3 linked regions of the Mus musculus genome follow. The protein of the gene in region 1 binds, or shares a complex with, the protein of each later gene. Links are inferred from orthologs where the notes say so. Each region holds a gene or a part of one and is shown in the gene's direction. Other genes may lie near its edges.

Region 1 (4,810 bases):
TCCTGGGCTTGGTTTTGCTTTGTCCATCCTCTGAAGACACTGGGTCACTTTAGGTTACTACCCCGGGACAGAGAACTGTAGGACACCACAGGCGTATGGAGTCAGATCACTCAAGGCCTCCTGGGGCCATTGCTGGGCTTTTATGGAGCTGAGCGAGCACGGACAGATTGCCAGCCAGGGATGCCCTTGACCCACAGGGCTACAGATACAAACCTACAGGAACAGCAAAGCAGGGGGCGCAGGATCATGGCTCCTCTGTGTCTGTGGCAGGAGGATGACTCGTGGAAACCTGAGCTAAATCTTACTGAGCTGGGTGGGTCTGGTGGCACGGGGAACTGAGGCAGGAGAATCACAAGCTCAAGGCCTACGTAACTTCAAGTCCAGCCCCAGAAACTTAAGGAGACTTAAGTGAAGGCTGGGGATGTAGCTCCGTGACTGAGCGTCTGCTGTGTGTGCAGGGCCCTGAGTTTGAATCCCAACACCATTATATATGTATATGTGTGTGTGTGTGTGTGTATACACACACACACATATACATAATCACTGAACATGGGCAGGGTGTTCACTGCAGCAACTGCTCCAAACTTAGAGTATTTTATTACACCAGGCATGATGATGCACTGCTTTAATACCAGAACTCAGAACTTGGAGACACAGACAGAGGCGGATCTCTGAGTTCAAGGGCAGTCTGGCCTACAGAGCTAATTCCAGGGCAATCAGGGCTACACAGAGAAACCCTGGCTCAAAAAAAAAAAAAAAGTATTAATTTATTTACTTACCCTGCGTGTGTGTGTGTGTGTGTGTGTGTGTGTGTGTGTATGTTTACACACTCTAGTTCACTATGGCTGGCATGTGTGTGGAAGTCAGTGCTGGGAGTTCAATTCAGGTCCTTAGGCTGGGCAGCAAGCACCTTTGCCATCTGAGCCATCTTACTGGCCCATTTCTTTGGTTTTTTTGAGGCAGGGTTTCATGTAACCCAGGCTGGCCTTCATCCAGCTCTACAGCCAAGGGTGAACTCGAATCTCATCTCTCTTCCTCCATCTCCCCAGTGCTGGGATGACAGGTGTGGGTTATCACAGGCACCTCTAAGCCAGAATTAGTGATACAGGAGATTGCTGGGAGTCTAGAGAGGAGCTCTCAGAAGGTGGGAGGCACAGCAAAAGGAACTTGAGACGCACCTAACCTGGAAGACCCTTGACCCTGGAGCATCATCACCTGACTGCAAAGCTACTCAGCAACTTGGAGGGAAGTGTGTGGACTTCCGAAGCGAGAAGTCACCTGGAGTGGCAGTGCTCTTCTTCCTGGACGCCAGCGACTCTGCCATCTTTGGGACACAGAGTCTGGGGAACCACGGCTGGGGTGCACCTAGAGTGCGAGGGGCGGGGCAGGAGTCATTAAGTTGCGGGGTGCCTGCGTGTGGCCTCAAAACCTTTGAATTCTTGGTTGCCCGATCTCGGGCTTCCGCCCTCTAAGCGCCCCCCCCCTTCTTCCAGCCTCAGTTTCCCCATTCAGAAAGTAGTTAGGGGCAACAGCGTGCGATCTCCGAACGAATTCTGGGCTGAGCTGGACTTAACTGAGGTCCGGGCGGCTTAGTACCCCGAGGGGTGGGCGGGCCCTGAGATCTGGCCACAGCCGCCCGGGTCCCGCCCCCGGTCCCTGCGGGGCTGTGCCCGAAGGCCCCGCCCCCCGCCCACGAGGAAGTGGCTGCGGCGCTGCGCGGGTCTCAGAGCCGGTTCGGCGCGTCGACTGTCCAGAGTCCGCGGCCGAGGAGACCCGAGGTGAGGGGCGCGGGGTGGTCGCGAGGTGTGTGTGGTGTCTGAGGCCACCTAGAAGTCAGGGGACTCGAGGCGATGTTCGACGGTGAGGGGGATGGGGATGAGAGAGGAGTGGAGAGCCGTGTGCATGGGGGCCTGGTGGGGCTCCCGGCGAGGGTGGGGCTGGCAAGGAGCTAGTGGGGGGCGGCGTTCTGGGGATGCGGGGCGCGGTGGGAAGAATCGCAGAGATTCCCCGCGCACTCGACGCCATCGAGACGGCACAGCCCCAGCCTCGCGCCCCCTCTCCGCTTTCCTGGCCCCGCTTTCGATCCCCGAGACCCGTGTCGCCCCGTTACTTTGGGCGCAGGGCCCCACGCTCAGTCACTTCCCCCTCGGTCCGCAGCCTTCCGGGTTGTTGCGACCGGGAAATGAGCTAGCACCCCTGCCCCGCCTCATCCCCCAGTGACCATACCCGGCAGGGGTCCAGGTTCCTGGTTCCACCCAGCTTGGGCGAGCGGACCCTGGCGGCTCGAGGGGCACCCAGCCAGGCCACCCCGGACAGGGCAGGTCCCGGTGGGGCCCGCAAATAGGCTGGAATCCTGAACTGGGAGCCAGCCCAGGTGCTGGCCATGAAGCTTGTTCCCGCGAGGCAGCTCCAGCCTGGGGCGGTGTGGCTGCTGACGCAGTCGAGCCACCTCGCCTCTCTAGAGCTCAACTTGCCTTGCCTGGAAAATGGGGACCTTCCAGATTTGGAGGCTTAGCTGCCAAATGTGGCTAGTACACTTGGCAGAGTGCCTGCTTGTCTGCTGCTGCAGACCTTATTTCTGCACTCCTTTGAACCTGGCCTTATGAGGTGGGAGGGTGGGGTGGGGTCCGAAGCTGCAGCCCTGCGGGGCGACTTGGAGGGAACAACTTCTTCACGTGGACAATAAAAAAGGAATAGATTTACCACGTGGGCTTCTACTGTAAGAGAATGTGCGGGGCTGGGAGATGGAGCATTGAATAAAAGCACTGACAGGGGTGGAGTTGGGGAGGGGGAATCCTGAGGGTCTGAGTTCGAATACCCCGACACCCATGGGCACTCAAAGACACACAATGAAGCGTGCAAGGCAAAGGTCTGTGTGAATGAAAATTTATTTATTTATTTTGGTTTTTCGAGACAGGGTTTCTCTGTATAGCTCTGGCTGTCCTGGAACTCACTCTGTAGACCAGGCTGGCCTCGAACTCAGAAATCCTCCTGCCTCTGCCTCCCGAGTGCTGGGATTAAAGGTGTACGCTGGTGATTCTTTTTCACTCTGGGTTGTTTTGTTCTTTTAGGCAGGGTCTCCTCCTTTCCCCTGGACTCGGGTTCTCTCTCTCTCTCTCTCTCTCTCTCTCTCTCTCTCTCTTTCCCCCTCCCTCCCTCCTCCTTCCCTCCCCCCAGGCTAGCCTTGAACTCATAGAGCTCTGTCTCCTCAGTGCTGAGATTAAAGGTGAGCACACTTCGGGATCTTTCAAATAACAAATAACCCCAACTAGAATTAAAGTATTTTGTTCTGTCTTGGTCCCAGGGCCTTGGAACTTACTAGGCAAGTGCTCTACCAGTGATCCAGCCTCCTCAGTGGTATGTGGGTTTTTCCAATCTGTCACCCACTGATATAAAAAGGGTTTTCTGTAGTAAGGCAACCCTAAGAAAGAGGGCTTTAAAAGTTTGCTTTTTCAAGTTACTAAGGTCATCAGTGTTGTTCTCTTTTTAAAGATGTATTTTTATGGGTTGGGTGCGCGCGCGCCCACACACTTGAGCCCTGGGGTGGTGGAAAATGCTGTCCCCTGGAGCTAGAGTATTTATTTGGTGGTTGAGGGCTACTGGAGTTCTCTGCAAAGAGCCTTCTCTCCAGCCCCACATTCTGTCTGCTCTCATACAAGCTGTTGGAATTAGAAGTTAGCACGCGGCCCTTCAAAGGCATGGAACAGATGAGGGTCTCCCCACAGCCCTGCTAGCACCGAGTCTTCTGTGTTTTGGAGAAGTTTTTGTTTTGGTTCTTTAAACTGGTGTTTTACGATATTTTAGAATTTATTTAATCTGTTGCTGGATTTGACTTTCCCTCATTCAGTAAGTCTTCAAGGACAGTTTAGAGGAGGGGGAAGAAGAGGAACTGAGGGTTTGGAGGGTTGCTCACACCACCCAGGCTCCTACCCACAACAGGAAGTTGAGTAAGGCTTAGCACCATAAAAAAGAAAAAAAAAAACTGCTGCTGGCTGTACTTAGCTGAGCTCCCAAGCTAGGCGGGGACTTCCTGGATTGCCTGTGGAGCCAAGGTTCTCGCTGCAGGCAACTCCCGGCTTGGCTTAAGTCTCAAATCCAGCCAGACTGAGTGTGTGATTCAAGGAAACACAGCCAAGAAAAGCCAAGGGGCCAGGGCGAAGGATATTTATTTATGTGTGTGTGTGTGGGGGGGGGTAGGGTAGAGGACAAGTTAGAAGCCTTAATTGGTTCCTTCGCTCCTGGGTCCTGGGGATCAAACTCAGGTCATCAGGCTTGGCTGCAAGCGCTTTTACCCGGTGAGCCATCTCACCAGCCCCTTACCTGTCTATCTGCCTGCCTACCTACCTATCTAATCTGTCTGTCTGTCTGTCTGTCCGTCCGTCCGTCCATCCATCCATCCATCCGTCCATCCATTTCTATCAATCACAGGTTCTCCCTATGAAGCCCAAGCTGGCTTCAAACTCCTGATCCCACAGCCTTAGCCCGCTCTGTCTCCGATGTTCAGCAGCGCACCCTGCTGGAGAGTTTTAACCCAGCACTCTTGGAAGGAACTCTGGGACCCAGGCACTGGAAGAATGTCCTTGGCAGCAAAGGGGCCTGAGGCTCTGGCTGGCAGGCTTAGGAAGGGAGCTGCGTAGGTCCTCCCCAGCCGAGGGTGTCCTGAGGTAGAAGCGTCTGGCTTTTCTGACCACTTGTTCCATTAGGAACACAGAGGGCCTCTCCCAGTTGTTGATACATCACTGTGATGCAACCAGGCATTTTCCTCGACACAACATTCCTTGATACAGATAGCAGGAGTGTGGAAGTCATT
Region 2 (4,895 bases), on another chromosome or scaffold:
AATTAAACAAATCTTTATCCTAAGTTACATAATGCCATCACCGTAACAATGTTCTTATACTCCAGCATGAGGCTTTTAAAGTAAGCACTGCTGGCAGGGAGACATGTCTCCTTTGCTGTCTTAAGACACGAGAGTTTTTACTAGCTGACAATGTGAGTGTTAATCAAGGAAATGTCACTTCTATCAACTGAATGATAAACCTAGAGGGAGTGCCACATTGCTTCTTCACAAGGAAAAGGGACACACTTCACATACAGCGCTCTCTCTACATAAACACATACATACACATGTGTGTGCCTATGATCAACAACTGTTTGATCCTGACGTCTTTCTCTTTTTGATTGAGTCTCTATTCCCAATGTTTTTATATATTTTATATTTCACTAACTCATCAAGCATGCACTAACTACCTTCTGAATACCTAATTTTATTTTATATGAAAAAAGATACATAAGAAAAAATTAGATTCAGCCCTTCAGAATCTTGGGATCTCTTTCCCCAGCAAGAATAAAACCTATCATTAGGTAGTTTATGAAGCTCGTGCTACATAACCCATAACACATTGCACACATATGCAGAATTTTAGAGTCTTTTCGAAGCATTTCCACGTATTGAGCCCTGGGAACATCCTTGTGAAAAGCACATTAGCCCCATCTTAGTACTAAGAAATCCAAGGTTCCAATTTTTAAGCAACATGCCTCAATCATGCAGATTATGAGAGCAGAAAAGTCGAGACTCAGCCTGCTTTTTGATCCCAAGCCCAGTGCTCTTTTCCAGTACGGCAGAGCAAACGAGAAAACTCAACAGGATGACATCCAGCCTTCTGCTATACGTGAAACCAGGTGGTTCTGCATCGAAGCAGGGCAAAGCCAAATGTCTGAATTAATTTTATTCTGTAAATACTTGTACTACGGTATATTACACAGAGCACAGCTATTATTTGATTAATCTTTGTGCCTCTGCCTCCTCAACAGAAGCTCTGATCTCACAAACCGGAATATGGAATATAGCAAAAAGCTGATTTGACGTGCTTCCAGGAACCTTAAACAATAAATAACAACCTTGAAAGTCCAGTCTCTATTAATCCTTGCACTCGCTATTTTCCCTCAGCACTGAAGAGCCTAACTCGCCCACCCTCTTCTGGCATTCTTGCTCCAAATAACTACTTATTTTAAGATGTGATGACTGATTCTAGAAAATGCTACAAGTTTGCCCCAATTTCACTACCTGGCCCAAGCGTCTTTTCCCTCCCTCCAGATGGAGAGAATACCTAGTTCAGATTCTGCAGGTCCGGTCGCGATGCTGTCACACAGCACTGACAGGTAAGAAGTGACCTTTTCGATTCCGTCCTTGGGGACCTCCCACCGACAGCGTGCCAAGAGTCCAAGCCGGGGAAGGGGCTCTCAGCTCGGGAAGGCAGCCCCCGGCGGCGCACGGTCCGAATGGAGGGCTCCGATCACTAGTTCCGAGCTGGGCATCACTTTGCCTCATACTCCTGCAGACTGCAGGGGACTAGGTTCTGCAGCCAGTCCATCGCACCCCACGCGCGAGTCCGGTCACCCACACTTCACACCGGACCCCAACAACCAGCGGCTGGCACCGACAGCGGCGGCGGCAGCAGCACTCCAGGCCACGCTCCCGAGGTGCCCATAGCCTCCAGCCCAAGACCCCCCGCAAGGCAGGACCGCAGAAAAGCGTTTCTATGGGAACGTCCCGGGCATCACGTGATGCTCCCCGGCGACCAATCGCGTCTCCGCGCCGCCTCTGCCAGCTTTCTGTCGACCCGCCGCCCCCGCCTCCTTCTCCAGCCCCGCCCCTTTCCTGCAGCGGGCCCGCGCGTGCGCGGTGCGTCCCGCGCGCTCCCCTGCCGACGCGCGCTCCCGGGGGACGCGGGGGCGGAGCGGGGGCTGAAGGATGGCTGCAAGCAGAGGAGGAGGCCGAGCCCGCTAGCGCGCAGGCCCAGAAGCTTGCAAGCCGCGGCTGCCGGCGACGCCCCAGAGCGGAAGAGGGAAGTGAGTCGGACCGGGCTGGGCTCGCTAAAGGAGAGGCACCGCGGAGGGGCAGGCCAGCGTCGCGTCGCGATCCGGGATGTCGAAGAACACGGTGTCGTCGGCCCGCTTCCGGAAGGTGGACGTGGACGAATATGACGAGAACAAGTTCGTGGACGAGGAGGACGGCGGCGATGGCCAGGCCGGGCCCGACGAGGGCGAGGTGGACTCGTGCCTACGGCAATATCCTTACGCTCGCGGCGGCCGGGGGTTGTGGGGACGCGGGGCCACGCGACCGGCTGTGCCCGGCTCTAGGTGGGGACGGAGGACAGGAGCTCCCGGGGCCAGCAGGCCGCCTGTACCCCGCGGCCGCGCCGGCGAACTTACCGGCGGCGCCCCGATTCCTCAGGTGCGCGGTCCTAAGCGGCCGCGCCCTCCCCGGGGCACCGCTGGTGTCCTAGTGGGCACCTGAGCCAGTCTCTGCCCGGTGGGGACACGGGCGTCCCGCTTGGAGTCTTGCTTTCCTGTCCGGTGTGTGTGGTTGGCGGAGCGGGGATAGTTTATCCCTAGCCAGGAGAGATGGAGCGGTTCGCAAATCGAGGCCCTCGGTACATTCAGCCCCGGGGCTATTTCATCGGCAGCATTGTTTATTAAGAGAGAAGGGCTTTGGCAAGGTGGCATTATAATTCATGAACGAGCCGAAGGGAGTTTTCTTCTCCAAAATTCCCAGTTAAAGCTTGGAACCTTTCACCTGCTAAGAAAAGGCCACTAAAAAAGGGATAGCGAATGCATGCAGAGAATCCCTGGGAATAATATAAGATGAACCCCAGTGAATAAAGCAGAGAATGAGTCGGTTCTATAAATCAACATTGTTTTTCTGAAATTGTTTCCCTTCTAGTTAAAACATGGCTGTCAGTTCCTGGTTCCTTGGTTTGCATATCTGAATATTCATAACCTCGAAATTCATTTGCATCGATCCCTTAGAAAAATAGAATGTTACAAAAATCCAAACTGGAGCTTTAGAAAAATCGTATTCATTAAGTCTGTTCATACAGCTCTCCCCTCATCAATTTTCTACTAGATTATAATGAAGAAAGTGAGCAAAAACAGTGGTAACCACAGCATCAAACGTACATATATGTGCAGTATAGGTTTAACTTTCATTACCATAACTTTCACAGTTGTTACTAATTTGATTATTTGTTAAAATACTTGGGTTTTTTTTTTCTTTAAAAGACCATGCAGGCTTGACAGTAGTTTATTACCTACTGTAGATAATTTTTTATTAGACCCTTTGCACAGAAATGGTGAGCTTATTCTTTGTTTGTTTGGGTTTTTTTTTTTTTTTTTTTTTTTTTTTTTTTTTAGTCTTTATGGTGGATATATGATATTTTATTAAACTAATGTATTTTAGGTAATTTCTGGTGATTCCTACTGCTGTGTTCATTATCAATTCAGTCTACCTTTTTGTCAATCCATTTTAAAATATAAAGATATTGTCTCTGGTTCTAACTAGGAGAGACTTCAGATTGGTCGGGTACTACAGATGGAGGAACCAGTGACTCTGTTTCTCCTTTTAGGGAAATGACTGTCTGTTCTGACAGTCTGATTGGCCTTCCGTTTCCCCTGCTTGCTAACTCACCAGTGCTTTCAGAGACTGAGTAGGTATGGATGGTCCAGCCCAGTTTGAATAACCTGTAGGAAATAAAGTAAGCTGCCACCTACAGGTCGTGCGGGTTACTACATCATCCAGAGCCCTGTTCATATTAAGCTATTCTTCCATTCTGATTGCCAGAATAATCAGCCAGCATTTCAGTTAATACACAGTGTAGTTTCAGTATAAAGTCTAGGGTTGTTTTCCAGCAAGAGTCACACAGACAAGTGGTATACTTTGTTGGTAAACTGCATCATTTGGTGACCTAATAATTCTTAACACATAGTCTTAAGATTTCTTGAATACCCATCTAGACAATTGCGTGTATCTCACTGGAAAGTGTAATCTATTTGACTGATAGAACTGAGGTCAAAACAGTCTTTGCTTTTTTTTTTTAAATCTATTGTTTAATTCCAGTATTTTTACCATTGGTTGACATGTGGGAAACACACCCATGCAGTTTCTAATATCGAACATAATGACCATAGTAACTTTTGTTACTGTGCAGAAAGTCAAGTCAAAAACCAATATTCCTGTAAAGCAGGGGCCATCCTTTTCTGTTCCACCCTTAACCTTCGTTACAGGAAACATGACAGCTGCTCTCCAGGCTGCTCTGAAAAACCCCCCTATTAACACAAAGAGCCAGGCAGTGAAGGTGAGTTTCAGACTACAGCATTAATCTCTTCTGTTTCACTATTAGCAAAGTCCTTTGATGCCCCACAGTCAACATTGTACCTATTTCCTGTCCTTGACACAAGAGTTTACAGTGTGACTTTTGAGACTGAACCGCAGTCTATAACCTGGTCTGAAACTCAGGAGATCTCCTGCCTCCACTGGGATTAAAGGTATATGCCACCACGTCCAGCTTTAAAGGGAGCTTGTGACAAGTAAAAATGTCATGAAAAAAATAGCCCTGAAATGTAGAGTTAGGAGAGTGCCGTGTGGAGTGCAGTAAATTTAAAGGATAGAGCCATCACTTCTGCGTGTGCTTCAGGAGGAATCCACTCAGGTTGGATTTAAATGGGCTTGAAAAATAAATTTGCCAAACACACACAGCTGCTTCTTGATTTCCTAATTTTGTAAATATTAAATATTATAGAAAACAAAGCATGCGTGACCTTAAAAAGGTGATCTCTGTCCTACTTCCTTGGGTCTTATAGTTTTTCCTAATTTTGTAAATATTATAGAAAACAAAGCATGCAAGCTTAAAAAGGTGATCTCCATGCTATTCCTTGGGTCTCAGTCACTGCCTT
Region 3 (4,728 bases), on another chromosome or scaffold:
ATGTTGGGTTTGTGTGATGAGTTGACCAAACTGACCAATTGGAGCCCTTTCTTTGCCAAGCTCCATTCAGCAGCTGCCCATTTTTCCAGCAGTTTCTCAATTGTTCATGACTTGATGCTGATAGAAGAGGTACTCAAGGTACTGTAATGAAAGCTGGGCGTGGTGGCGCACGCCTTTAATCCTAGCACTCGCGAGGCAGAGGCAGGCGGAGTTCGAGGCCAGCCTGGTCTACAGAGTTCCAGGACAGCCAGGGCTATACAGAGAAACCCTGTCTCGAGAAAACAAAACAAAACAAAACAAAACAAAAAACCAAAAACCAAAAAAACAAAAAAGGTACTGTAATGAACATTTTTTAGTCACCTCCCATCCCAAGTGTAGCAGCGTACCCTTGTATCCTAAGTGCTCTTAAGTACCAAGCTGAGTTAAGCCATGTGTTTGTGTGCCTGTTTCCAGAGCCAGTCTTGAAGGTCTCTGAGGGTTTAATGCTTTTCAGGCCCAGGATGGGGATACTGGTTGGATAGAATGAATAAGCCTTTTGTAAATGGGATAAGGAGAAATGAACCGAGTGTGGATTAGTTTTAAATGGAAGTCTAAAGATGACCAGGATTCTACTAGAGTTACAAATATACATCATATTTCTGGACATTTTTTGTAGTGCTAGGATTAAACCCAGGATTCACAATATTTTTGAATTCCCAATTACATTCCCCATCTTTGAAGACAAAAAACTTACAGGCACTGTACTTTGCCATCCCTGATGTAATTAAGACAGCCCTTACATTTTTAAATTTTACATGTACCATGTATGTGCTGTGCCGGCAGAGGTGACTGGATCTCCCTGGAGGTGGAGTCGCAGAGCACTGTGAGCTGCTATGTGGATGCTGGGAACTGAACCCAGGTCTCCAAGAATAGCACTTTTTTTCTTTTTTAAATTTCCCGACAGGGTTTCACTCTGTAGTCTTGGCTGATCTAGAACTATGTAGTCAAAACTATCTAGAACTCACAAGAACCCCCTGCCACTGCTTCCTAAGGGCTGGAATAAGGCATGTGCCACATTACTCGCTATGTGTAGCAGGAGCAAAACCATGTCTCACCTAATTTTTTTTGCTCGAGTTCTACTAGGTTAAAATGTAATAGTTTTCTTTTTTTTTAATATTTTTTATTAAATAGTTTTCATATAGTTACAAGAAAAGATTCATTTTAGCCTACGTCTGAAATAGAAAGAATCCTGGGGATTCTGCAGCTTTCGCCTCCTAAAATATGCCTCTTCAGTCAGGAGTACAGGTGGCCACAGAATCCTCTTTAATTTTCGGAACGCCCGCAGGAGTCGTTACATCCTCAAGAAAGGATGTTATCAAGCGTCCTGCCAGCCCCTGGGTTACACATCAACGCCTTTAAAGCCGTTTACTTTTAACAAAGTGGGTCCTCTTGTGGGTCAGTGCTTAAGAGACTCCGGCACTGCGCGTCACTCCCTGCCATCCCTTAGCTCTAAGATTTCTTCCTCCGGAGCGGACAGAAGCGCTGGCTATACCAGCAGCCCGGCTTCGGAGAGGACAGAGTTACGGCTGCAACGCCTGACACCACTTCATCAGCATTCCACGATCCCACGGCGCAGTTCCGCCCACAAGAGCTTCCGGTTCCGGCGCATCCCGGAAGTGGGCGGGCGACGGCGGCTGCGCGCGGAGGAGGGGAGGCGGTGCCTGGCGGCCGCTTCCCGCCCCCAAGCGGAGCCGGTGCGGAGGGGAGCCGGGAAAGAGCGAAGCCTAGGCGGCTGAGTGGCCGCCGCGCTCCCGCCATGGCCCGGAACACACTGTCCTCACGCTTCCGCCGCGTGGATATCGACGAATTTGACGAGAACAAATTCGTAGACGAGCACGAAGAGGCAGCGGCGGCGGCGGGCGAGCCAGGCCCCGACCCCTGCGAGGTAGACGGGCTCCTGCGGCAATATCCTTCCCGGCGCGGCGGCCCGGCTCGGCCTTCGCACCCTGATCACCCCAGCCCCAGTCTCCCGGTCCTCCGCCCAACCCCAGCCCCTCCCGGCTCCTGTCAGTCCCAGGTTCTCCCGGTCTGTGGTTGGCCTTACGCCTTTCTCAGCAGCGCAGCCCTGGAGCTCCTCTCCCTCTGCTCTGCTGCGCTCCGCATCCTTCTGGGTGTCCGTGCATCGGCCTTGGTATCCCTTTATCCCTCCTTATAGTAAGCGGGGTCATTCCCAGGTGCTGCCCTCAGGAGGGACCGAGGTGAACCACCTTGGATTCATTGAGCAGCCAGGGCCACTGCCCTACTGCGCTTGTCTAACTGGCTTTCTTGGGCCCGATTGTAGCCCGGCGTGAAAATAGGTGGGTGGATGGTTGGAGGAAGACTGACTAGAGGGCGGAGGTGGGGGAGGTGTGCTTTAAGGTCCAGCCCTCAGGTGTGATATGGCCTGCTACCTTTTCTCACCTGTCGCCACTTTCCTCAGCACGTTGGGTTTTGCGCCTTTATGGACCAAGTACATTCAACAAGTAATGCGACTCTGCCATTAACCGCCTTGTGCAGAAAGCGTGGAAAAAGCTAGTGATTCAGAGCTCAAAAACACCATACAGTGTCAAATGTAAAAGTGGCTCCCCACGACTGAAAATGACTGCTGGTGGCCACAGAAAACAAGCATTTAGAACAGAAGAGTAAAAATAGAGGTGATTGTCACAGCTGGCTTGGTCTCTTAGCAGTTTGAGCACCACAGGAAACTGATTTATTCTCACAGGAAGATTTTTTTTTTCTTTATTCAAATAGCTTGACAGGAAGTGTGTACCCCTCCCCCGCACTTGCCAGGGTAGGGTTGGAGGCTCTTGCTGTATATAAATCAGGTTCTGGCTGTTTAATCAGTTGACTCAGCCTGGGAAGTCAGGTGTACCGCTTTTGGGAGGAGTCCTATAGTGCTCCTCTAATATATCTTGAAAACAACCCTTTTAGACTGAACAAGAATATGTTTTTGAAATGTGGAGATTTCAAACTTATTTCCTGCACCATTCTGATGGTTAAATTGGGTCATGAGAAGGCCCCTAGAGGGAAGATTGGTTTTTAGAATGGTGCAGGGTACTGACTGGTTTATGTGCAGGTACTGTTGACAAGGCTCCAGAACGATGCATTTGGGCCAGAATCCTAATTATATTGATGAAGAGACTGGGATCTGTCAGCTTCTGCTTTGGTGTTGTTGCTGGGCCTTGCTGAAGTCCCTGGCTGTTTTTTCTTCTCTCTCTCTCTTTCTTTCTTTCTTAGGCAGCTTAGAGGCATTGGCTTAGCTTATAGAAGAGATTGCTTCTACACTCATGGCAGTGTCAGAAGCCTTGTTACTATGGAGAGTGTACCTCTCGGGATTGGGAGAAGGGAGGCTAGCAGAGGAGAGTGAAACCCTAGCAGATGTCAGGCCCAGGTAGGGAGAAGGATGGAAGTAGTAATTGAGTCCCTATCAGGTGCTAATCATTGCATTCAGTCTATAGACCCTCATGTGAGTCTTAGGAGAGAATAGTGAAGAGGTTTAGGGGGACATTAGGTGGTGGTGGTCTCAGGCCTGTGCTGGGAATTGTTTGTGGAAGAGCAGAGTGTGGAAATAGAAAGCTGCTGTGCATCCACACAGGCACTGTCTAACCTGCTTTAACCTTCTGCTGGTCATACACTCTCTCAACCTCAGCATTCTTTTTTTTTTTTTTTTTTTTTTTTAAAAGATTTATTTATTTATTATATAGTACACTGTAGCTGTCATCAGACACACTAGAAGAGGGCATCAGATCTCATTATAGATGGTCGTGAACCACCATGTGGTTGCTGGGATTTGAACTCTGGACCTTCGGAAGAGCAGTCGGGTGCTCTAACCCACTGAGCCATCTCACCAGCCCGAACCTCAGCATTCTTAAATGATAGAGACAACTATGTTGGTCTTACCACCTCAACAGGTGTACCACTAAACACACAGCAGGTGTACTCCAAAACTTGGGCCCGGGTTGTAGGAGGGGCAGGGGATTGTAGAGAGGGCTTGGATTTGAAAGGCAGCTCTGAATTGTAGCTTTGTGACCTTGGGCAAGTAATTTCCCTTCTGTCTCAGTTTCATTATCTCTATGGCAGAAGTCAGGCTCTTGTCCTAGAGGGTTTGTAGAATAAGGTGAGATGTGACTGTATCTGGTCCTGGATCCAAAACCCCCAGGGAGGATTTTTTTTTCCCTCCACTCCAGCGGTTTTAAAGTACCATTGTAGTTCATTTTCTTTCTCAGTGAAACAGCTTCTGGTCCTTCAAGTAGGACTGTAGGTAGAGCAGTGGTTTTGAGTGATTTGGTAGTTTTTTTCACCCCTCCTCAAGGAAATTTGGCAGTGTTTGGTGACATTTTGATAGTTTTAGGATGTTACTGGAAACTTTAGGGTAAAGGCCAGGGAGGTTGCTAAATATCCTGCAGCATACATCAAAGAATCATCTGGTTTAAAATGGCCATGGCTGAGAATGGTCTGGTGGGTTCTTCAGCCTGTTGTCTGAAGCTATTGGACACTATCTGGGTATGGAGGCTAGTTAGTAAACATGATTGCAGAGGTGCCTCTCTGCTTCCTCTTGTACCCAGCATTTGTGAGCCTTTGGTTGTCAGTGGCTGCTTGACAGGCTGCAGTGCTAAGCCTAACGTTCTCATCCTTGTGGACTAGTTACATCATTTCTGCCTTTCCCTCTCATCTCTTTTGTGAATGAAATGATTGTTAGTTCATGTGTAC

The links. Proteins that work in one complex are often made in the same cells at the same time.
Region 2: Arpc1b (region 1) and Arpc5 share a complex: the UniProt entries of both Homo sapiens proteins name them as parts of the arp2/3 complex. The link is inferred for Mus musculus from reciprocal best matches to the Homo sapiens genes ARPC1B and ARPC5.
Region 3: the proteins of Arpc1b (region 1) and Arpc5l are in contact, whole or in part, in a cryo-EM structure (PDB 6YW6), measured with the Homo sapiens proteins. The link is inferred for Mus musculus from reciprocal best matches to the Homo sapiens genes ARPC1B and ARPC5L. Residues at the interface, in NP_005711.1 of Homo sapiens: Arg118, Lys138, Arg142, Phe164, Ser201, Gly203, Trp204, His222, Asp223, Ser224, Thr225, Leu240, Ala241, Ser242, Glu243, Thr244, Leu245, Pro246, Phe281; in NP_112240.1 of Homo sapiens: Asn21, Lys22, Arg102, Gly139, Leu140, Gly141, Ile144, Arg145, Thr148, Arg150, Lys151.

The regions. Positions count from the first base shown.
Region 1 is NC_000071.6:145,112,564-145,117,373, forward strand, and holds the start of Arpc1b (actin-related protein 2/3 complex subunit 1B), read left to right. Parts: upstream 1-1,692; 5' UTR 1,693-1,778; intron 1,779-4,810. UniProt on the Homo sapiens protein: Component of the Arp2/3 complex, a multiprotein complex that mediates actin polymerization upon stimulation by nucleation-promoting factor (NPF).
Region 2 is NC_000067.6:152,764,637-152,769,531, forward strand, and holds the start of Arpc5 (actin-related protein 2/3 complex subunit 5), read left to right. Parts: upstream 1-1,905; 5' UTR 1,906-2,088; coding exon 2,089-2,231; intron 2,232-4,224; coding exon 4,225-4,297; intron 4,298-4,895. UniProt on the Homo sapiens protein: Component of the Arp2/3 complex, a multiprotein complex that mediates actin polymerization upon stimulation by nucleation-promoting factor (NPF).
Region 3 is NC_000068.7:39,006,401-39,011,128, forward strand, and holds the start of Arpc5l (actin-related protein 2/3 complex subunit 5-like protein), read left to right. Parts: upstream 1-1,738; 5' UTR 1,739-1,795; coding exon 1,796-1,944; intron 1,945-1,950; exon of another isoform or gene 1,951-2,170; intron 2,171-4,728. UniProt on the Homo sapiens protein: May function as component of the Arp2/3 complex which is involved in regulation of actin polymerization and together with an activating nucleation-promoting factor (NPF) mediates the formation of branched actin networks.